Lepisosteus oculatus: one gene and its partners. The protein of the gene in region 1 interacts with the protein of each later gene in a pairwise test. Links are inferred from orthologs where the notes say so. Each region holds a gene or a part of one and is shown in the gene's direction. Other genes may lie near its edges.

Region 1 (7,907 bases):
CATGTCTGGCCACCATTAGAAGCAATACAATCTATACATCCATGACGCATGTCATGCATCAGGGTACAGATTCAGTCTAACCCGTCCTATTTCTCTCTCATAATGCCTCTTCACTAGTCTCTATGCTAGCTGCTAGATAATCTTCACAGCTCATCTTTCAAATGTTTAACAGGGCTCCAGTCTGCACATTCAGGCAGCCACAGCATTCTTACAAAATTCTCTTCTCGCAAGAAAGCCACTGTCAAGAAGCAGCAGATGCACACATGCGAGTTATCCTACTGGAATGCTGTCATGTCAGTATGAGACCACATCCTTCACCCGGGAGAGTGAGGGCCCAATCTGACTGTACAGTGCTACAAGTGGAGCTCCAACAACTAAACGGTACCAGACCTTTCCACATGGGCCTCCCCACCAATCCTGACAAGGTACTACGACTTCGTGGTCTCCCAGATCACAGCCTATTATTGATGGACCGCATCGGGCCATAACATCATAACACTGCCATAGTCCAGCTCCCCACAGATGGATGAACATAGGGGTTTATAGAATCCTTTCTGTGTGTTTTTCTTTTTTTCGAATATCACTCCACATGTTTAATAAGCTCAACCGCCAGCAGGATGAACTTGTGAAATAAAGAAGGAAGACCACAGGTGGACTGTGTTGTAGGACAAAACACTCCAAACGTATCGTTTTGCAGCAGAAGCACTCCTTTATTTCCTTTTGTTATGACACAGCTGCAGCAGACAGGACCTCTCTCACCTTCCCTCTTCAGCCACTTGACGATGTTGCCCTCCTCCATGGTGGGGGAAAGAGCTGGCATCATCACTTTGACTGGGGCCACTCCTGAAGGACAGAAGGAAACACACCGACTCTTACAAGCAGCAGCAGCCACAGAGATGGGTGGAGGAGGAGGGTTACCAATAAATAAATTAATTCTCACACTTTATGAATCGTACAAAAACTTTACGGGACTATGTATAACCCAATTTATGTGACCCAAACAAATGTAATGTTTAAGGTTAAAAAAAAATCCTGGAGCAAAAAGTCCAGGTCTAGAAAAAACAGCCTTAATGGTACTGGACAAAAAAAAAAGAAAAAAGAAAGAGAGCACTGTACAAAAAGTTGACTGGATGATTCTAAAGTGGGAAACCACACATGAAGGGATGTTCCTGCAGATTTTTTGATGACCCCAAACCACAAAGTATAAAGCATTTAATTTAAAAGAAGATTATGGTTAAGGTTTGTAAAGCATTTGTAACACATGAGTTTGAATATTGTGCTTAGTTTTGCACACTATTCCACAAAAAGGATATCACAGCCATGGAAAGAGTTCAGACAACCAAGACAAACAAGAGTCCTTACCTCAAGAGGTACTGGTTTATCCAGACAGATTAAAAGAGCAGCATGTCTTTGCTTTTAACACAACAGAGCAAGAGGAGATGTATTACATGTGTATAAAACTGTAATGGGTACAATATACAGCAAACATAGTTAACCCAGGGGACTACTTCACCAAAAATGAATACAGGATCACAACTGGAAAGTAGCAGGGAATTAATTTAAGGTAGACTACAAAAATAACAGAATCCTTCTTGACAAAAAGAGTTGTGGATTTCTGCTCTCCCAACCAAGTAGCTGAGGTCCCAAACTACTTCAAGAAAAACAAAATAGACGATAGACTGGAATGGTCTAAGAACACTCAGGGTATCTAGATGAAGGGTCAGAGCCAACTTTACTTCTTGAGGAGGCTCAGTACAAAAAGTAAACCGTGATTAAAAAACAATTGCAAAGAGACTTTGCTGCCCCCTGCAGCCCCTTTGAAGAATCACAACAAAATGGAATTATTGTTCATTACTATTGCAATGATCGAATTAGCACTTCTTTTAAAATGCTTTCCACCCAGTTGTTCTGATTGCTTTTTGTTAATGAGTTCTACGATACCTTTTAAAACCTACTAAAGACTAAATCGTCAATGACACCATATCCTAATAGTACATGATGCTTTAGATCTAGCAAGTTAGACCGGTATAATGCATGGTTATAAGGAGAAAACAAACTGCATTAGAGAGATAGCCATGCAAAATTAAAACATGTAGCACTGATGAAGGCAACATGAAGGCCATGCAAAGGAACAGTAACCAAAGCAGTAACAAGAAAGGGACAGCCAACCCCAGTTGTACTAATCGACGCTGTGTGATGCAGGGCCTGAAGCAGAACATCATACAAAGGACTGCTATGCTCTAAGGGGGCAGACAAGCATGCCTTGAATGTTCTCTTTTTTTTCCTGCAGAATTTAAAGACTAATCACAAAGTAGTAACAATATGACACAAATCATGTATGAAAAATGATAGGAGTTCATAATCACTTGGTAAGGATTACTCTTTCATCTTCTCACTACCTGGAAAGATATAATGAATAAAATAACAGGATGTATACTGCAGCTGACTGTTCTCACCGACACTTATTATTGATGGCCGATTTTCAAAGTCTTGGCTTTCCATTGGATGGAAGTCAGAATCATGACTAGAACACTCAATAGCACTCACTTTCTGTTGTTCCACTTGAATGTAGCTTTGGACTCATTTTGTGGGTCACTGCTCTGATGAAAAGCGAGTTTTCATCCCAGTTTTAGGTTGGCTACTATTCTATCACATAACCTTCATATTGCCTTTGTCTCCCTTTAGCAGACAGAAGACTTTTTTTTCTCCTTTAGACAAGCAGCACCATAACATAATGAAAGGTAGAAATAGTGTTGAGTGGACTATGCAGTTTAATATAGTTTTGTTCATATACTCAATTTTACAAAGTTTATGTAATAGAAACATGCAGGGATCAGCAACAAGGTGGTGAGGTTGCCGTTAACTAATGCTACAGCAAACATGCTGATTACCCCCAGCCTATTCCAACATAAATCAACAACAAGATATAACATAATACACATAAAATGCATATTGTGAAGTAGTCCAGCTGTATAGCTGCGTTAGCATGCGTAGGCTGCAAAGGAACAAGAAAAGGTTTATTCCTGAGAACACAACGTTTCGGCTATGGAGCCTTCTTCGGGTGTGGACGGTGGAGGAAGGGTGTGCCACCGGAAGAAGGCTCAACACCCGAAACGTTGTGTTCCCATTCTTCTCTTTTCAGCAGGAATAAACCTATTGCTTGATCTAATGCACTATATAAAGAACTGCAATGTTATGTTTATGAATTAAAATCTAAACTCCTAATGTGTACAGTAACTTGAGATGATCAACGTTAAATGTCCCCGTCTGTTGTCTATTTCTGGCTTGTACGTGTACTACAATTTAGAAGGGGAACCGTGCGTGCTAGTCTTAACGCTTTAAAAACTTTAAAACAGCGTAAAAATAAAATACAGCAGTACAAGTAGCACACAACCTTCCATTATAACCCAGCCAGCGATGTGCGTTTTGGTTTTTATCATGTGACACGCCAACACTTACCAAACATTGGTGAGGACTGAAAAAAGTGCCGATAATATCCATCCTGAGTTTGGGTTAAACCGGTGCATTTCTTCAGTTTTATTAACCTCAAACCACTCAATATCCCCCGATGTCCCATCCGCAAGGAGGCCGCCATATTTGTGTCCTCGGAAATTACCAGTTACCCTACTGCCTTTCAAAGTTTTGCGTTTCTGAGTGCAGAAATGAATGGATACGTTTTTTACTGCATGTTTCACGTTAGTGCTGTTTAACGAAAATATGACATTTTCCCACTTATTTTAAATAAAACAATTTAAATTTAGGCAGGATAACTAACTACAAAAACAAACGACAATTGTGATAGAAGGACCCCATCCATGAGAAGAGGTCCTTCGCGCTTCTTGTCGCTTCCTTTATACGCAAAGCCTGCAGATCTGCGCAGATCTCACTGCACTCGGCGGTCGGGCAGGCAAGAGCAGAGCTGCATGCAAATTTCGACTGCTAAGCCAGAAAAGTCTGCAAACTCCGCACTGTTGCATATGCGCAGGCAAAGCCCAGCCCTTCCAGTTTAATTCAGTGTAGGTGTGTTATACAGCTCCCTCCTTAAAACATTATCAGTTGGTACCCAAACACCCAAGCTACTAAAAAAAGTAGGAGGAAGTAGGATATTAACCCTTGCTGGATTCTTCTTGTGAGGACCAGAGTTGTGCACCTGTGTTCATTTTGCCCTTGAGTTGTAGTTGATGTAATCTCCACCTCAAGCCAGGGGTTTTCTTGTGAAAATGTGTCCCCTGGACACAGGAATGCGGCATGTCACACTGTAACATGTGGATTTCACAATGTAGAGTAAATAAAGCAGGTTGGGATGATACCTTTTCACATCCACATCCTGCTTACCTCATCTTTTGCTGAATAGGTGGTCACCTGCTCCATCTCTTATTGTGTTGGATGAGAAGGGTTTGTAGCAGGAGGAGTTCCTGCAATGTTGTGCCTGCTTCTCTGCTGTATTTTGACAACCTTTGTTTCACAAAAATACATTGTGAGGGGGGAAGAACAACAGACTGGAGGCACACCTAAGGTAATTTAACACTTCTGACAGTAATTACAAGTGCAGTGTCAGTATATCTCTGGTGTCAGTTTACCTCTCTGGTACACAGAACCCCAGTTCCTATAGCCTTTATAGGTTAAATCATTAGCATCTTAGGAACACTCATTTGTTTCTCAATTAAACAAAAAGAAATGTTCAGTTAGTTTAATTCTGGTACTTGTGGGCTGGATAATATTCAGATTTTCAGAGCTGCAGATGATCCAGCAAGCTGTGCCTCACGATGATACCAGCAACATGCGCATCTTGTCTTCCAGAGTTACCGAGTTTACTGACCGGGGCTGCGCAGTGACGTCACATACGACGTCACATGAAGCGGACCTGTGCAGATCTGTGCAGACGCTGCGCAGACTTATGCAGCAGGGAGCAGCAGGGAGCAGCAGCCATCGAAAACCAACATAGTGGCTGTACTGTTTAGACTTTCTGTGCCTCAAAAACGTGAGGGGTGGGTGGCGAGCGGTTTTCGTTTTCATCGTCCTGTTCTTTAAGGCGTTCTTGTGACCAAGTACACGGTCAAGGAACGAAAGCAAGTTTAGGCCTTAATTTAGGCATTAATTTTTATTTGCCGAAGAGTATTGCTAAAAATGTCTTCAGCGGTCTATAATCGCGACTGCTCTAAATGTGCCCAATCTATTGAGGTAAGTTTATCCAAAGTTGCTTTCTCAGAAATATAAAATGTGTTTACGTTACGTAACAATATTGAAGTTTTCCCCCCCTTTAAATCCGGACAACGCGAATGTCGATGATATAAACGTCGTTTACGCTGCCATGTGGTCAGCCTGCTTTTAGAAACTTTCAAGCAACAGACGCACATAATGCAATGTGCTAATTGTCCCTTTTAGCGTTTATTCTGTGGTATTGCCGCTGAATTATTATGACGTTCCACAATTAAATAATCACTCACGTGACAGATACCTTCGACATGTATTTTATTTGCGAGTTGTGGCCTTGCACAATTAAGAAATGAGCAGTATATTGCAACAAAAACAGCACAGATGTTGAGCTGCTCTGCACCGGATGGTGGTCAAGAATACTCCCTAGTGCCCTACTCCTTGAACTGACTGGACAGTAATGGAATTTGCTTGAGACAGAATGAGATTGCCGTTTGTTTTAGTGAATATTTTCCATTCCAGGACAAGGACAACCCAAGGTTGCTGATTCCTGAGCTCTGCAAACTCTTCTACCAGTTAGGCTGGGTGACAGGAACAGGAGGGGGTATCAGTCTCAGGCAGGGGTGAGTATGCCAAGCCTGAAGCTTAGAAATCTGGTGTGGTCATCCAGTGTGCAGCACCAATTCAGAGAACAAATGCCATTTCATAGAAAGAGTATGAAGTGAAGACAATCTTCATTCAGTTGTGCCCATTCAGGTTTGGGAAGGTGTGAGAGGCCGGTGACCCCAGACAAAATGTCTTCAAGGTGTAACTCGCCTTGCCATCTGGGGACAGAGCGCAGATCCTCCACTGTGCGTGCTGCGCTAGGCGTGAGGAAAGGAAGCCAGAGGCTGACCCTGTCAAGCCTCAGCCCTTTTAAATTCTCACCTGACCACTTGTCCTTGCAAACCGAATCTCCATTTTGTCTGGAGTCACTGCCCTCTTACAGGAGACTACCGTCTACTCTCTCAGCTGTGAGCCTAAATAGTAAGTCAACAGTGTGCTAAATCTACTGAGGCTGAAGCAGTAGAAGCATGTGCACTACAATGCATCTATATCACAAATGTATAAAGAGGTTGTCAAGAGGTAAACAGGATAACAGTGTTATAGGAACAAGTAATAGGTTTATTCCATGTTGAAAAGAAAAGAAAAAAAAACACGTTTTGGCCGTGGAGCCTTCTTCAGGTGTGAATGTGTGTAACAGGGATATTTCATCAAGATAAAATCCCTCCTGTAAGTTACTTTAAAATGTGTCTGATTTATACTGGTATGTTTTTTTTTTGAGGTGAAGACAGTCCTTTGTCATGTTCATGTGTTAGATTAAAAAAAGAGTGTCCAGGTGATATAGATTACATTCTTTATTGTGGAGAAGACAGGTGTAACTTCTCATTGGATAAAGGCAGTAACTGTCTTGTTCAGTTAAAATAAAGCAAGTAGTTCTTGTTACTTCACTTAGAAGCAAATGCTTAATGAGATTGTGTTCTGACTGTATCTCTCTGGCCTACCCCTTCAGAGATCACATCTACATTGCCCCCTCAGGAGTGCAGAAGGAAAGGATTCAGGTCAGTAAAGATCTCTGAGGAACTGCCTGGGACCTGTAACTGAATACCTTTTGAGTTTAATGCCTTTTTTCTCCCCTTGACATTAGGTGTCTGGTTAATGTATCTTATCTCAGGTATCTAGTCGGATAATATTTTTTTAGCTTTCATATAAGTCAGATATATCCTAGTACAATTTTAAATACAAAAAAAACAATTTTACCAATAAAATACCCAGATTGTTCAGAGTACGGAGCTGTGTTGGCATGTGAGCTTCAAATTAAAAGTTAAAGGTTATTTCTAAACTAAAAAGTAAAATAAGGACATATTTGTGGTGTATTAAGGAGAAAGTGTGTTGGATAGCAGAATGCTGTATCTTCTATGCTGTCTTTCTCCAAGCATGGAAGCAGTAGATTAATGCTAAGATCTCCTAATCTCTAGAGTGCTAGCAATCAACTACTGCACTTTCTGCATCACTTTGCAAACTTCCTTCCACCACAAATTAAGTGTTAATGTATCTTCCACCCATTTCCAGAACATAAACTTTAGTGTCAGCTACCCAGGACAAAAAAAAAACGTCTGTGTGTTACAACCCATGATAACTAATTCACTCAGTTATCTTCTTTTACAGCTCTTTCATGCGTGACACACAAGCTGAATTAGAATTAGTGTCTTTAATTAGAAAGGAAAATAGCAGTAAATTGTCAAAATACAAAACAAAACCTAACTGCTTTAGAGCCCTAACAAAGCTCTTCTCAAGTTTGTCGCTGAGCACAAAGTTTGGCAGAAGTACTGTTTACTAGCACCATCATATGTCTATATACTTTATTAATCATTGTCCTACTTGTCATGTGTAGATTCTGCTCTCAGGCGTTGAAAGCCTTTACTTCCTTGTTTTAGGTCATCACTTGGCAAATTGTCTTCCTTCTACTAGTAAGGTGATAAAAGGCAGCAGGTTATTCCCCACGTCATTCTGTAATTAAGCTGTATTTATCTTAATTATGTTAGCAATTAAATCTGATTAATTTAAGAAATATTGGCAGTATGGCCTCTGCAGGCATTGGGGGCCACACCTTGAAGCCACCCAAAAGAAGAATCCATGCTCCTAAGGCAGCTCAAGGAGTGCGAGGGGCTATTGGCCAGCCGACATCAGCCGCTCAGTGATATGTTGCTATG
Region 2 (7,440 bases), on another chromosome or scaffold:
GGGGCGAACGGGAAATTTGGCCAGGATGCCGGGGTTACACCCCTACTCTTTTCGAGAAACACCCTGGGATTTTTAATGACCACAGAGACTCAGGACCTCGGTTTTACATCTCATCCGAAGTCGCCTGTTTACAGTATAGTGTCCTCGTCACTATACTAGGGCATTAGGACCCACATGGACCGCAGGGTGAGCACCCCCTGCTGGTCCCACTAACACCTCTTCCAGCAGCAACCTTAGTTTTTCCCATGAGGACTCCCATCCAGGTACTGACCAGGCTCACACCTGCTGAGCTTCAGTGGGTTGCCAGTTGTGAGTTGCAGAGTGATATGGCTGCTGGCGAAACTAAAGGCTTAAATAAAACTTAGAGGTTTACGTTATCCAGAACAGCCCTGTACATAGTAGAGATGTAAATGAGGAAATAAAATACTGAATACCCAGAAATACTTCAGTATTAATGTTTTCTTATTGTGACAAACCTATCTTTCAGCACAAATACAGAAAAATATCCAAACCAAAGTTTCTGTAAATGGCCTTAGAAAATACAAAAAAAATGAAAACCCACAAGCTTCTAGAAATGTTAAGAAAAATCAAAAGGCTAGTCATTTATTTACAAAAGAACAATACAGTAGATATACGATGGCAGACAGCACTTTCCAGCACTCTTCTGGAACAGTGTTCAGGGCTTGGTCTGTCAAAACAAAAAACAGCCTGTGGCATTCAAAGGACATTTTCCATTATGGCCTGAAACAAAAGATGTTCTCTGAATCTTGTCATGGTCAATACAAAATACAGTAATGAAAGCAATACAGACAGCGTAGACTTTAAAAATCCATTATTGTATTTAAAATAAAACTATGCATTATAGTTTTTAAATACTTAGATGTGAGGGGGCTAGAGTATAACAATTACTAAACAGCAATCAAAGGATCTGAGATGATGTATTTGCTAAGGCTGTTTCCACTGTATAGGTGCTGTCAGAGTTGAGCCCAGTCCTCTCAGATTCCACACTATTCCTGATAATTTACACCTCAATGAAAAGGGATCCTGACTGGCAAGACACTTTTTTTAGGAAGAAAACAGTTCTGAAAGCACTGCATAATGGATCATGAAATATTTTTTATTTATAAAACACTTTTCCAATCCCAAGGATGCTGTACACAGTGATAGAGATCAGCAAAAGAAGAAAAAAACGGAACAAGAACATACAGGATCATCTGTAGGGCAATCAGACATAGGTCCTAATACAAAAGGTGAGTTTTAGGCTTAGATTTCAAAAGAGTCGAATAATTTGTCTCTTGAAGAGCCGGAGAAAGTGCAAATCATAACAACAGAGCAGCCTCTGCAAAGGCACAGTCACCAGAAGACCAAGATCCTGGCTACTGTGAGCAAAGGACCAGTCCCAACAGAACAGAGCCTATGGGAATGGAGCCTATTAAGAGCTTTAAATGTCACTACCAAGGACTTATACTGAACACTTCATTTTATAGGCAACCGATGTAGAAATTTAGGTGTAGGAGTGATATGCTATAGGGTCTGGTGTGAATTAGAATTCTAGTTGTAGAGTTTTGTACATATTTTGGAGTTTTGGAGCAAAGAGTTAGAGAAATCGAACCTTTTTATTAAAAAAAAACGGGAATTAAGTTCACAGCATCGGATATTAATAGAATTTGAGCAGATTCCTGACTGAATGGGGAAGCCATCCACCGTCGCTGTAAGGCTCTCCAGCTTTTCCCAGCTGACATTTGCTGCCCGTCAATATCATTTCCGTTGTATCACTACTTATCTTCCAAGGACTTTGACGTCAAGCAGAGTATGATGTTACGCAGACCAGCGATAACTGACGGAGGCGGCAGATCCCGAGGGAGAAGAGGTTTTAACGTAAATCTGAATATCTGCATAACAATGAAACTACGCTTATAATCCGAGCGAGGGGAAGCATCTCAATAATAAAAAGTAATGGGCCCCAAGACTAGCTTCTCTGATGGGAAAAAGTCATTCTGCTTCCAAACTGTGGAAAGAATTGTTTAATTCTTGAAAAACAAAACGACAAGCGGTATTGTAGAAAATGGGAGGTGTTTGGACAGCTCGTTATTGTGAAAGCACTTCAGATCGTAGAACCTATAAAACAGGCTTGACAACCCATTCAGCACCACTCAAGGTGTACAGTCCTACCTGAGTCTGAGCGGGAAAAAAATATCACACAACTGCAGCAAAAACAAATGTTGTCATGTTTTCAGTTAAACTACAACAATAAAGGACTTACTTTTCAATCATTTTCTAGAATTCCTCTGAACAGGATCTATTTGTCATTTAAACGATTCAATCCAGGCATGTTCAATAGCATTATCCAAGTATTAAATTACTTTCAAAAATCGACTGCCAGACGCCCTCCAAAAAAAAAAGATGAAACTGAAGAACTTATTTTTGGCAACAATAACAATCGTAATAGGCGGCCGTTTGAGATCGAGTAAAATTACAAATCTTCACAGCAAGCACAACAGATCGATGTGTTGCCTTTACGGTGAAAGACCTCCCAAAGCAGGACAACTGTTGTAGACCACAGAAAGTATTTGTCAAACCCGCTTCAATCAGACGATGCGTCTGTGGGACACCACCACAATCTGTTCCCGTTTAAAGCCAGTTACTGGAAACGCTTAAAACACACGATTAGACCGCCTGCCAAGACTGTACACCCAAGACCCTTTATAACTACAGTAGATGATACTTAAACGAACAACTCTTCGTAAATGTGTAAACTATGTGGCAGCGTGCAGGTTGACAAACACTGGATGTTTTCCCACCACGGCAACACTTCAAGAAGCCCAATTTAACACAACAACTACATGGATTATTTGAAACACAGGGAGACAAGGGGATTTTATCACTACTGTACATGCAATCGTTTTGGGTGTACACACCACCTCGCTTTAATCTATACCGGCCAACCTCTTTATTTCCATCTCAAAGCGACACTGCAAGGACAGCAGGATGATGTACGATGTGAACTGTGTTAGTTTTCTTGGCAGGTATTCACTAACCGTATAATCGAAAACTCCCTTCATCCGCTGCGTCGTTTTTTTTCCCAAAGGCTTCCCCAAGAACACCAGCCCCAATTCATTCACCTCGGTTACCTACAACATTCACCTTCAAACTGCCATTAACTTTTGAAGTGGACAATTAAATGGGCTGTATGGAGTATACAAATTATTCAGCAAAGAATATCATTACGGAACAGCTTTTAGAAACTCGCGTTTCTCAAAACGACCCGTGTAGAAACATAGCGAAGCACATGTTAGACGGTCACAAACGGTGGACCACAAAAGTTTCTCGGCAGGTTGTTGAACTGAAAAAAGGCTGCATTTGTAGGTTACGACGATGAGTATGGTACTCAAAGTGCCAGAGCAGCTTTGAGTAAAAATGTAGACTTAATTACTGAAGTCTGAATTCGTGAATAGATCGGCGTCACTTACTTTTACTACCGTAGGTGAACCCGTCTGAAAGCAAAATCCCCCAAAAAACGAAAGTAAAGCAGCTCTGGGGCAAAGTTTTACCCATCTTCGTTAAGAAATAAAGTCGGCGTAATCGCTTAACAACTCAATTCTTTTTCCTCTATCCAGGCGTTGCCTCCTAAGAAGTAGATGCCTTTTCCACATACTGTAGTAGACCACCTCCGACAACCTTTATCGAGCCATCTTTGTCTCTGTTTTTCTCTACCAAATTCCCAGATTATTTTATGAGCGGTTATTTTTCAAAGAAAAAAAACAACAACAAATGACTACCATGTGCTGGCAATAACGACTAGATATGCTGATTCACTGACTTCCCAGCGTTGTTTGTCCGGACAGCTCAGGTTGGGCTATCCATTGAGTTCGAGTGGAGTGGACTGCACGGAGCATGCGTCACTCTACAAACGGGCCCGTAGCTAAGGTTAACCCTTCTTCTTCCGCGCACACAGGCGTACGCCTGGCACACGTACCAGGCAGCAGCAGCTGTTGAAGAAGGACAATTTAGAAAGAGGATACAAAGAAAAAACGTCGCTGCAAGCCCGCACAGTGAAGAGTAACGATGATTGTACTTCGGCCAGCAGCTAGCTACAGTTGTCTGTTTTTCAAGGACGCGCTCCTTACTCTAAATATGCTGATGGAAGGGTTTATTTGTAAGGTCTGTGGAAGAGGTTTCACATTTAGGCGCATTCGTACAAATAATCTGCACGCATGAATAAATGCATATCCCTTCCTTCAGCTGTTTCTTCATTTTTGACTGTTTTCCATTTAAGACCGTGCTGAGAATAAGCTACAGAGCTCCAAATGCATCCAAAATAAGTAGTTATCGAAGTAAATAGTCCATTTATGGCTGAAGTCTGAGCTGTAAATTCGACTCGTCAACAAATGCAGTAAATAAAAATATTAACTATCCTGTCATTCGTAAATTAATTTACCAGGACCATCATCTTTTATTCTGGAGGAGTAGAACACTCGCAGCTGTAAGCAAAAGATAACTAATGGTTCAAATTGTATGCTACATTTAGGACTTGTCATTAGGATACATTGCCGGCCACACAAAAAAATACTTATTAAACATGTGAATGTTGAAGAAAAGCACTTTATAGATAGCCTATCTGTAGCAGTGAGACTACAGAAGAAAAAACGCAGTTCTGCAGGTACTGTATCTGTTTTGTGCAATCAAACCTTTTGTGCGCGTTTTGTTATGTGCGTTATAATGGTATCTTGGACTTTTTTTACTATCCCTTAGCTCGCAGCCAACGACAGTGGGTGGGCTGGACTTCCGCTGTTATTACTGTACAACATATACTGTACGTGCTAACGAAGAAAACAGCTAGCGTACCAGTAAAAGCAGAGCTGCGTTTTAGGTAAAACTGAATTGCATGTCCACTTTCCGGTTGTTGACAGATGTACGAAACACTTTTGCTGAGTTTGTTTTTGTATGTATGTCAGACGGAGATTTCTGGTTTGGTAAACAATACAGATTTGATTTCAATGACTCCTGGGCAGTAGCAGAAAAAACACGGTTGCTGCAGAGGCACTTGGGAGTCCAGTCCAAGGACGTTGCATTTAGCTCCTTACTAATCATAGTTTTTTTTTACAATTTTATGAGCCCTCCCAGTAATCTTTACGGTGGATACAGTTACCACAACATTGTACATCTGCATCCATCAGCATTTGTCAGGTGCTTTAGCTCTGTGTACTACGCAGCTATGAATTGAACCCAGGAACAATGCACCAGATCGCTGGTTTCCATGATGCAATAATAACTACCTTTTAAAAAAGGTGCATTGAAGCGCTAATCGATAGACGAGTTTCTTCTCGGTGAAACTAGTGACGATCACATGTTTCCACCAAGCGTTGCCCAAAACACAAATTATATATATTTAAGTTAACTTCCCTATATTATTTTCTTTAAGCCCGTTAAGGGATCTGCAAACCAAACTCAGTCGCCGAATTTCTTCGATTATAAACAGAAGGTTCGGGCCGGACCGGGACTTCGCTTTCCCCAGCAATGGGTTCGGCTCATCGGACAGTGGAAGACGAGTTGGAGAAGATTCTGAGCGGTGAAGGCTCGCCCGTGCAGCGGTTTGATTCCGCTCCGGACCTGCAGTCGGTAGCATTAAGAAAAACTACCTGCTACATCGTCTGCGGCGTCATCTTTAACGAAAAGGTAAACGCGGTAGACCGGAAGATAGCTTTTCAACGTTTTGGATTCATTTTTTGTTTCGGAGAGCAGAAACGTGCCATGCGGCATTAGAAACGTTATTTGTACCCGAGCCCAGCTAACCGACTGGACTTCCCAAACCAGAACTCTTCTGGATTTTAATTTAAAAAATAGAATAGTACAAAATACAGTACTTTCAATCTTTATACAATAGTGAAGGGTGAAGTGTTTATTCAATAGAAGCAGGTTTCTTATTTGAAGAGCTTTGAGATTCTTTGGGATTAAAACGCTGTACGAATGTAAACAAATGTCAACTGTAAGCTTCCATTTAGCCAATAGAAGGTAATTACCGCCGTCAACTCAGTGGTAAATTGTGTATTTCAGTCTGTGAAAGCACTTACTTAAATTGTCGTTTATTACTTTCAAGCCCGTGCTTTTTAAGAGTTGTGTATCACTCTCCTCAACAAGCAGTTATTTTATTTTAGTGCTAAGCTCCTGTCCTCTATGACCCTGTAGATTCATACTGCCATCTATTGGCTTTAAATACAAACGTTTTATGGTTTTCTGGTACCATTAGGTACAGCACACTGATTGAAGTCAATAAGTATTTTTTTTACATACATACTAAATACATATTAAAGTATAGAAATATTAACAGTGTCCTAAAGTGTTTTTACTTATTCTTTTACTTCCACTAGCCAAACTGCTCCGTATTTTAATATTAGAAACACAGCTGTATGTAGTTAAAATCCCACACAAGCTAGTGCCTACAACAAAGATTTAATGAGAAAAAGATCGTAGTAAGGATTAGTAAATGATTATCTTTAGTTGACGATATGAGTGAATATCCAGTGACTTGATTATCCTGTGCACTCTGTGTCTCCGAGCCCTGCGGCACCCATACCCTACATGCAAACGAGCGCGTTGAGGGATGCCTCCGGCCTCATGGTGTGTCTTGTGTGTCTGCTGGCCTCCTGCCTCACAGAACGAAGTGCTGATGATGCAGGAGGCGAAACCCGAGTGCCACGGGCAGTGGTACCTCCCCGCCGGCAGGATGGAGGAGAACGAGAGCATTGTGGAGGGGATGAGAAGGGAGGTGAGGGAGGAGACGGGCCTGGAGTGCGACCCGGTCACCCTGCTCCTGGTGCAGGAGAACGGCCCGCGCTGGATCCGATTCACTTTTCTGGCCCGAGCGACAGGTTGTGCAGAATTTATTACTGGCTTTTAGAGCTTGGTGCAGGGCAACGTGTTTTAGAACGACACTGGTGACCGGATGGAAGAATCGAGTTTGTGAGGCACTGACATACAAGGGGGAGGCGCAGAGGTTAACATTGCTGCCTTGCAGCGCTGGGAACCCTGGGCTCAGTTACTGGGATTCTCTCGGTGTTCACGTGCATTGTCTCTGGGTGCTCTGTTTTCCACCCACAGTCCAAAGACATACAGTACGTGTAGGTGAATTGGCTGCTGAGGAAACATGACCCAGGCGTGAGTGTGTGCTTGTTTGTGTTTGAGTGGGCCCAGTGATGAACTGGCATCTGCATCCTGCCATGTGCCTGCTGCTTGCCAGTATAGACTCTGTCTCCCCCGCCACCCTGAATTGAAAGAAACGATTAGAAAATGGATGAATGCAAAATTCAAGGTGGAGCCTGCCTTCTAAGTGGAGATGATGGAATTAAGAGATGAAATCAAAAGGATTTGATGCATCAATTCTATTACAATAGATTATAATCCAGAGATCTCTCAGACCAGTGTGCTCAACCAGTTGTTAGG
Region 3 (6,928 bases), on another chromosome or scaffold:
GGTACAGGGTGGGGCATGATAATGTGACAGGTGCGCCCCCTGGGGGACAGACGGGGAAGCACAGGGTGCTGTAAATGAGGGCTCGGAGCTGGGGGAGACTGTGGGAAGCTGAAGGAGATCTGGGGTGTGTTTTTTCTGACACATGGTTCCGGTGGGGGTGGGGGTCAAGACACAGGACACACTGCACAGTCACAGAACCTCTTCAGAACACGGTCCGGTCTGTCCAGTTTGATCAGCAAAAAGACCCGCGGTGCTCTGACCCTCCTGTAACTCTGTCGCCCCCCCAGATTACACTGTGGGTCCGGAGAACTGCAGCCAGGAGCTGCAGGACCTGAAGCCGGGCCAGAGGTACCAGTTCTGGGTCCGGGCTGAAACTGGAGCTGGAGAGGGGCCAAAGAGCATTGTGGACTTCACCACCAAAGACAAAACAGGTACTGTACCACTGCCCGCTGCGCCCACTTCCTCTTCCTCCTCAGCCTGTCTTCCTCTTGTTCTGGACCTGACCTGGCCTCTCATCTCCCTTCCTCTTCCTCTTCCTGTCTCATCCCCCTTCCTCTTCCTCTCTCCCCTCATCCCCCTTCCTCTTCCTTTCTCTCCCCCCTCATTTCTCTTCTTTCCTCTCCCCCCTCATCTCCCTTCCTCTTCCTTCCTCTTCCTCTCTCTCCCCCCTCATCCCCCTTCCTCTTCCTCTTTCTCCCCCCTCATCTCCCTTCCTCTTCCTCTCTCTCCCCCCTCATCCCCCTTCCTCTTCCTATCTCTCCCCCCTCATCCCCCTTCCTCTTCCTCTTTCTCCCCCCTCATCTTTCTTCCTCTTCTTCTCTCCCCTCATCCCCCTTCCTCTTCCTTTTCCACTCCCCCCTCATCCCCCTTCCTCTTCCTCTCCCCTCATCCCCCTTCCTCTTCCTCTCTCTTGTCTTGTACTTCCTTGGTGTCTTCAGGAGGGTGATCTCGCTGTCTGTGGGTTTGGGGCCATGGTTCAGTGTGTGAATGACTTCTGCTCCTCTGCTCCAGATCTCCCTGTCATCCTGGTACTGTGCATTCTGGGACTGCCAGTAGTGCTGGTGACAGCATTCTGCTTCAAGTAAAGAGCAAGAGAAGTTTATTTGATTTTATTTAAGAAAACTGTCAGTTATTGTTATGCTACTCTGTGACTGTGCTGTGACTCTCTGTGACTGTACTATATCTGTGGCTGTGCTGTATCTCTCTCTGACTGTGCTGTATCTCTCTGTCACTGTACTGGTCTGTGGCTGTGCTGTATCTCTATGTGGCTGTGCTGTATCTCTCTGTCACTGTACACTGTACTGTGTATCTCTCTGTGACTGTGCTGTATCTCTCTGTCGCTGTGCTGTATCTCTCTGTCACTGTACTGGTCTGTGGCTGTGCTGTATCTCTATGTGGCTGTGCTGTATCTCTCTGTCACTGTACACTGTACTGTGTATCTCTCTGTGACTGTGCTGTATCTCTCTGTCGCTGTGCTGTATCTCTCTGTCACTGTACTGGTCTGTGGCTGTGCTGTGTCTCTCTGTGACTGTGCTGTATCTCTCTGTCGCTGTGCTGTATCTCTCTGTCACTGTACTGGTCTGTGACTGTGCTGTATCTCTCTGTGACTGTGCTGTATCTCTCTGTCACTGTACTGGTTTGTGGCTGTGCTGTATCTCTCTGTGACTGTGCTGTATCTCTCTGTCACTGTACTGGTCTGTGGCTGTGCTGTATCTCTATGTGGCTGTGCTGTATCTCTCTGTCACTGTACACTGTACTGTGTATCTCTCTGTGACTGTGCTGTATCTCTCTGTCGCTGTGCTGTATCTCTCTGTCACTGTACTGGTCTGTGGCTGTGCTGTGTCTCTCTGTGACTGTGCTGTATCTCTCTGTTGCTGTGCTGTATCTCTCTGTCACTGTACTGGTCTGTGACTGTGCTGTATCTCTCTGTGACTGTGCTGTATCTCTCTGTCACTGTACTGGTTTGTGGCTGTGCTGTATCTCTCTGTGACTGTGCTGTATCTCTCTGTCACTGTACTGGTCTGTGACTGTGCTGTATCTCTCTGTGGCTGTGCTGTATCACACTGTCAGTGACAGTTCTTGTTCGTGTGACTACAGGTGCTCCTGCAGAAACCAGTTGGTGCCGTCGTGGTGCTGTGAGAAGGTACCTGACCCGCAGAACAGCCGCCTGTACCTGATCCTCAAGATGCCACAGCTGCAGGTCTGTCTCACTGTCCGCGTGTCTGTCTGGGGTCTGTGTGTCCCACTGTCTCCCTGTCCACATGTCTGTCTGGGTCTGTGTGCCCCACCGTCTCCCTGCCTGTCTGTCCATGTGTCTCCCTGGGGTCTCTGTCCGTCCGTCTGTCCACGTGTGTGTCTGGGTCTGTGTGTCTCACTGTCTCCCTGTCTGTCTCCGGTACAGGAGACCAAGGAGGCCGTGTGCCCTGCAGTCTTTCTGCTGGACTCCATGCTCTGCCAGCTGGAGGTTGTGGAAATTCCTCTCGCTCCTGATCCCGGAGAGACCATCGCCAGCACGGAGAGCGCAGAGGAGGGAGGGGGACAGGGGGCCGAGATCTGGAGAGAGAAGGGGGAGAAGGAGCAGGGCAGGGAGGGGGGGTACAGTGAAATGATCAACGAAGAAGTGATATCAGGTCTGCCCTGCTCCCCCACTGATACCCAGCCCTTCTTCTCCGATTACGAGAAGCACTTCATGCCTTCTCCGCTCGACCTGTAGGGGGCAGTATGCAGAAGGCTCTCCACTTGACGTGTGTGGGGCAGTACGCAGGAGGCTCTCATACAAATTGCCCCTTGGGACTCTGTCTCTGTTCACGAGGGCGTGTTGGAAAGAGCTGCCCAGCTACCCTGTGGAAACTGACTGACTGATATTGATCCCATGGGAAGCAGCCCGGATGGGATACTGGGAGGGCGGATCGAAGGGATGGGATCTGCTCTGGGCGTCTCCTCTGGGTCTCGGAGTCTCGGGATCGGCGTGAATGACCAGAACCATCAGTCTGGCTGACCTGCTGTACTCCGGCTCCGGGTCAGAGCTCTGAGCTCAGAGCTCCCGCTGGTTAAAGGTGTTTCTGCACCGGACGGCCAGCAGGGGGCTCTCTCCCCGGGGGACCAGGCGTGCTGAGGCAGTTATTCCCCTGGGCCTGAGGGGACACAGAGCCTGTTCCGTGGAGGATGTAAATGTCTGTGAACTGGCTGTGCTTGGGGCCTGTCCGTACACCTCTGGGGATGTGAAGTTATGTGGCGGGAGGAACAGAGAGCAACAAAGTTGCACATGCGCTTTCCCTCTAGATTATACCATTCTCAGTGCCGGTTTGTATATAAAGAAAGATTGTGGATAGAGATTTTCTCGTTTTTCTGGTGTGATTTTTTTTTTTACGTTTTCTGTGTTTTAGGTGAAATAAAAACAGTTGCTTAAACATCTGCACTGCCAGAATGCAGCTCGTACTCAGCACGGGGCGTTTAGACGTGCTTGTAAGGGAACTTGAGCTCCAGCAGCCTGTCTCACGCGTGGAAACATATCGCGGGTCTGTGACACGTGTTGCACTGCTGCCGTAGCACCTTAGGCAGTACACAAAGTTGTGATCGCCCGCCATGTATATTTCACTTTTTATACATCAGCCTGACGGCGGCTGACGCCGGATACCCTGCGGCAGGAGAAAAATAAAAGGTGAGATGAAAGACTCCCATTTTCAAACCGAAGACATCTTAATCACTACAAAAGCGTGAAGAACGTCGGAGCCAACATGGCGGCTAGATTCACACAAGGGCTTTGGAGAGAGAAGGCAGTTTCATTTCTCCGACCCTAACCCGGCCACCATTGAGGGAAACCGCCGCAGCTGCCGCAGACGGCTAAATGCCGCCTTTCCGGGCACGTGACGAAATCTGCACTCCACGATTGGCTGGGAGACCGGAAAGAGCGGTGGACGGAAGCCGGAGGGGCTCAGGCAGAATTATTGGGGTCGAGCGCGCGCTGCTTTGCTTCCCACTCCCTCCAGCGCGAGAGCGAGCCGCAGCAGCAATAGCAGAAGAAGGCAGAGGGGTTTTGCATCACGGCCGCGATAGCAGTAATTGAATACTGTTAATAAAGCTAAGCTAATCAGTAATTATTTAGGGCCGCGCCGTGACGATCCAGATTTACATACTACACTACTCGGCGAGATCTCCAGGTGAGAGTTCTGGCGTTGTTTTTGCCGATTTGTAACCCGTGTCTGGAAGCACGCAGAGGGATTTCGCGTGAAAAGGGAACGGCGGGTCTCCGACCTGGGAAAATTTAAAAGTTGCGCCTCATTATTCGCCCAAGTGTTGTATTTTGTAAGCTCGAGTACCCTTTCCAGGCGTGTGTCTCCGCACAGAAGGCAGCCGGGTTTCAGCCGATAGGCGCTTGCGGCGGAAACCCGAAACGAGGCCGCTGCGGCCTAGATCCGCGCAGAAGCCTGGGGCTGTCGTGATTTCCACACCGGCGGTGCGGATACCCATCCTGGCTGTAGGAAACTGGTGGGATTGGAGGGCTACAGATCTCCTCTGGTTGGGGACAGAGACCATGTTTAAGAGGTGTTGCAGGAATGGGCTGCTTCAGGGGTGAGGGGCGGTGTAGGTGATTGTTTAGTGTGGTGGGGAAGGCAGCGGCTTGCCCGCTGTCCAGACGAGCGATGATAATGACGATCGCGTGGGTTAGAGGGACCATGGGATTATGGCGGTTAAACCGGGTCAGGCTGAGATTTATATCCTGATCTGTTGGTCTCTTTTCGTCCCCAATCCGATTATAAAGTATAGCCCTGTGGCCGGAGGATTGAGAGGCGGTAGGTCCCGTACCGTTCTCCGCGCGGATACCTGTGGCTGTGCAGGGAAGTGGGCCGGTAATGCAGTTTTCCGGGCAGTATGTAGAACTGCTGTCTGGCGATAACTGTCTAGATTTCAATCAACTGTAATGTTACAACAAGGGATTAGTTTTCTCACAGTAGGAGCTACAGTCCCAGTGCAGTAGAACAGTCCTGTTACAATAGGAGATACAGTCCCAGTGCAGTAGAACAGTCCCGTTACAATAGGGGCTACAGTCCCAGTGCAGTAGAACAGTCCTGTTACAATAGGGGCTACAGTCCCAGTGCAGTAGAACAGTCCTGTTACAATAGGGGCTACAGTCCCAGTGCAGTAGAACTGTCCCGTTACAATAGGGGCTACAGTCCCAGTGCAGTAGGACAGACCCGTTACAATAGGGGCTACAGTCCCAGTGCAGTAGGACAGACCCGTTACAATAGGGGCTACAGTCCCAGTGCAATAGAACAGTCCTGTTACAATAGGAGCTACAGTCCCAGTGCAATAGAACAGTCCTGTTACAATAGGAGCTACAGTCCCAGTGCAGTAGAACAGTCCTGTTACAATAGGAGCTATAGTCCCAGTGCAATAGAACAGTCTTTTTACACAGATTACTGTTGTGTTACAGTAAAAGCTGTGGAGAACAGCTTTATTCAAAGAAAGCTCGTACTGCTAGGAGGACAGTGGAGCTTCTGCCACAGCCACGGTGGGCTCAGGGTCTGGCTACAGAGTCAGGGATACATTTGTGACCGCAGTGCCTTCACACCTCACACGACGTGGCTCTCCACAGGCAGTGGCTGTGTGTGAGCCCGCAGCTCTGCCGGCACGGGCCCGGCGCCCCCCAGTGCTGCTCCGCACTGCTGTCCTGGCTTGCTTTCTCACGGTGCCTTTTTCTGTGTGTGCGCAGGATGGAGTGGCAGCCTGACGAACAGGGGCTCCAGCAGGTCCTCCAGCTCCTGAAGGACTCCCAGTCTCCCAACACGGCCACTCAGAGGGCCGTCCAGCAGGCATCCTTTACTGGCCGCGGGGCTGGGGCGGTGGGGTGGGAGGTGGGGGTCTGTGTGGTGGGTCTGGGTCCACGGTACTGTGTGCTGCCCTGTTGTCCTTAACTGCTGCGCTAAGAAACTGGAGCAGCTGAACCAGTTTCCCGACTTCAACAACTACCTGATCTTCGTGCTCACGCGGCTGAAGACGGAAGGTGAGTGTGCACAAGTCTGGGGAGCCCCAGCTCCGTCTTCCTCTCCAGGGGTGATGGGCCCGAGGTTCTGCAGTCGCTGGCTTCACCGTCTCCTGTCCTGGCTCACCTGCTGTCTTCTCCCCCCCCCCACCTCCAGACGAGCCCACTCGCTCCCTGAGTGGGCTGATCCTGAAGAACAACGTGAAGGCCCACTACCAGAACTTCCCCCCCACCGTGGCCGACTTCATCAAGCAGGAGTGCCTGAACAACATCGGGGACCCCTCCCCCCTGATCCGGGCCACCATCGGTGAGACTTGGGGGTGACGGGAAGAGGGGGCGGGGGCTAGGACTGGGGTAAAAGTCCCTTTCGCTCTGCTGTCCTGCAGTTCTTACTGGCAGGGCACTTGGGACACTCTATTGCAAAGGAGGTGAAAACAGTGGTAGGATTACTGATCACGGAATAGTTCTTTGACAATGATGTGGAAGCGCTTAGAGAGCTGAGAAATATTCTAGCATGTAAGTACAAGTTAAAAGTTTAAATAGAGATGTATCACATGTGTTCAAATCCAAAGAGCTGAACCTTGTTACTCTGGAGGAGCAGGCTATGGTCTAGATTTCCAAAGCCTCAAAGAGACACTGACAGAATCAGTCTAGCGGATGTCTTCACAGCTTGGGGTGGGGCAACTACAGTGCAAACGGAATGGAAATGGATTTGTAATCACTTCTTTAAACAGGATTGTGGGAGTCGGGCTCATCGCTTGGTTACTAAGTACTGAACGGGCTAGATGGGCTCTCTTCTCTCCTGACTTCACTCTCACTCCTCCTGTGTGAATCCGTATGTAGTGTTACAAATAGCTTTTAGCAGAGCAGTGCAAGGAGCAGTTAGGATCGGAGAGGTCAGGGATGTACAGCCCATTATGCCTGATGTGTTTCTAGTGATGTAAT

What was found. The genes of interacting proteins can lie anywhere in the genome.
Region 2: the proteins of apip (region 1) and nudt18 interact in binary tests that used the Homo sapiens proteins (3 or more experiments, as listed by UniProt). The two-hybrid records come from large-scale screens. The link is inferred for Lepisosteus oculatus from reciprocal best matches to the Homo sapiens genes APIP and NUDT18.
Region 3: the proteins of apip (region 1) and tnpo2b interact in binary tests that used the Homo sapiens proteins (3 or more experiments, as listed by UniProt). The two-hybrid records come from large-scale screens. The link is inferred for Lepisosteus oculatus from reciprocal best matches to the Homo sapiens genes APIP and TNPO2.

What each region holds. Positions count from the first base shown.
Region 1 is NC_090716.1:14,265,541-14,273,447, forward strand, and holds the start of apip (methylthioribulose-1-phosphate dehydratase), read left to right. Parts: upstream 1-4,892; 5' UTR 4,893-5,127; coding exon 5,128-5,181; intron 5,182-5,676; coding exon 5,677-5,777; intron 5,778-6,706; coding exon 6,707-6,755; intron 6,756-7,907. Other genes in the region: pdhx (pyruvate dehydrogenase protein X component, mitochondrial), read right to left, coding at 760-843, 3,460-3,595. UniProt on the Homo sapiens protein: Catalyzes the dehydration of methylthioribulose-1-phosphate (MTRu-1-P) into 2,3-diketo-5-methylthiopentyl-1-phosphate (DK-MTP-1-P).
Region 2 is NC_090697.1:68,281,166-68,288,605, forward strand, and holds the start of nudt18 (8-oxo-dGDP phosphatase NUDT18), read left to right. Parts: upstream 1-4,439; 5' UTR 4,440-4,483; intron 4,484-4,777; exon of another isoform or gene 4,778-4,870; intron 4,871-5,422; exon of another isoform or gene 5,423-5,479; 5' UTR 5,480-5,517; coding exon 5,518-5,676; intron 5,677-6,655; coding exon 6,656-6,869; intron 6,870-7,440. Other genes in the region: disintegrin and metalloproteinase domain-containing protein 9, read right to left, coding at 3,471-3,555. UniProt on the Homo sapiens protein: Mediates the hydrolysis of oxidized nucleoside diphosphate derivatives. Hydrolyzes 8-oxo-7,8-dihydroguanine (8-oxo-Gua)-containing deoxyribo- and ribonucleoside diphosphates to the monophosphates. Hydrolyzes 8-oxo-dGDP and 8-oxo-GDP with the same efficiencies.
Region 3 is NC_090706.1:13,311,092-13,318,019, reverse strand, and holds the start of tnpo2b (transportin-2), read left to right. Parts: upstream 1-3,927; 5' UTR 3,928-4,160; intron 4,161-5,713; 5' UTR 5,714-5,714; coding exon 5,715-5,813; intron 5,814-5,928; coding exon 5,929-6,004; intron 6,005-6,140; coding exon 6,141-6,290; intron 6,291-6,928. Other genes in the region: il12rb2l (interleukin 12 receptor, beta 2a, like), read left to right, coding at 1-30, 288-431, 1,012-1,081, 2,098-2,200, 2,402-2,713. UniProt on the Homo sapiens protein: Probably functions in nuclear protein import as nuclear transport receptor. Serves as receptor for nuclear localization signals (NLS) in cargo substrates.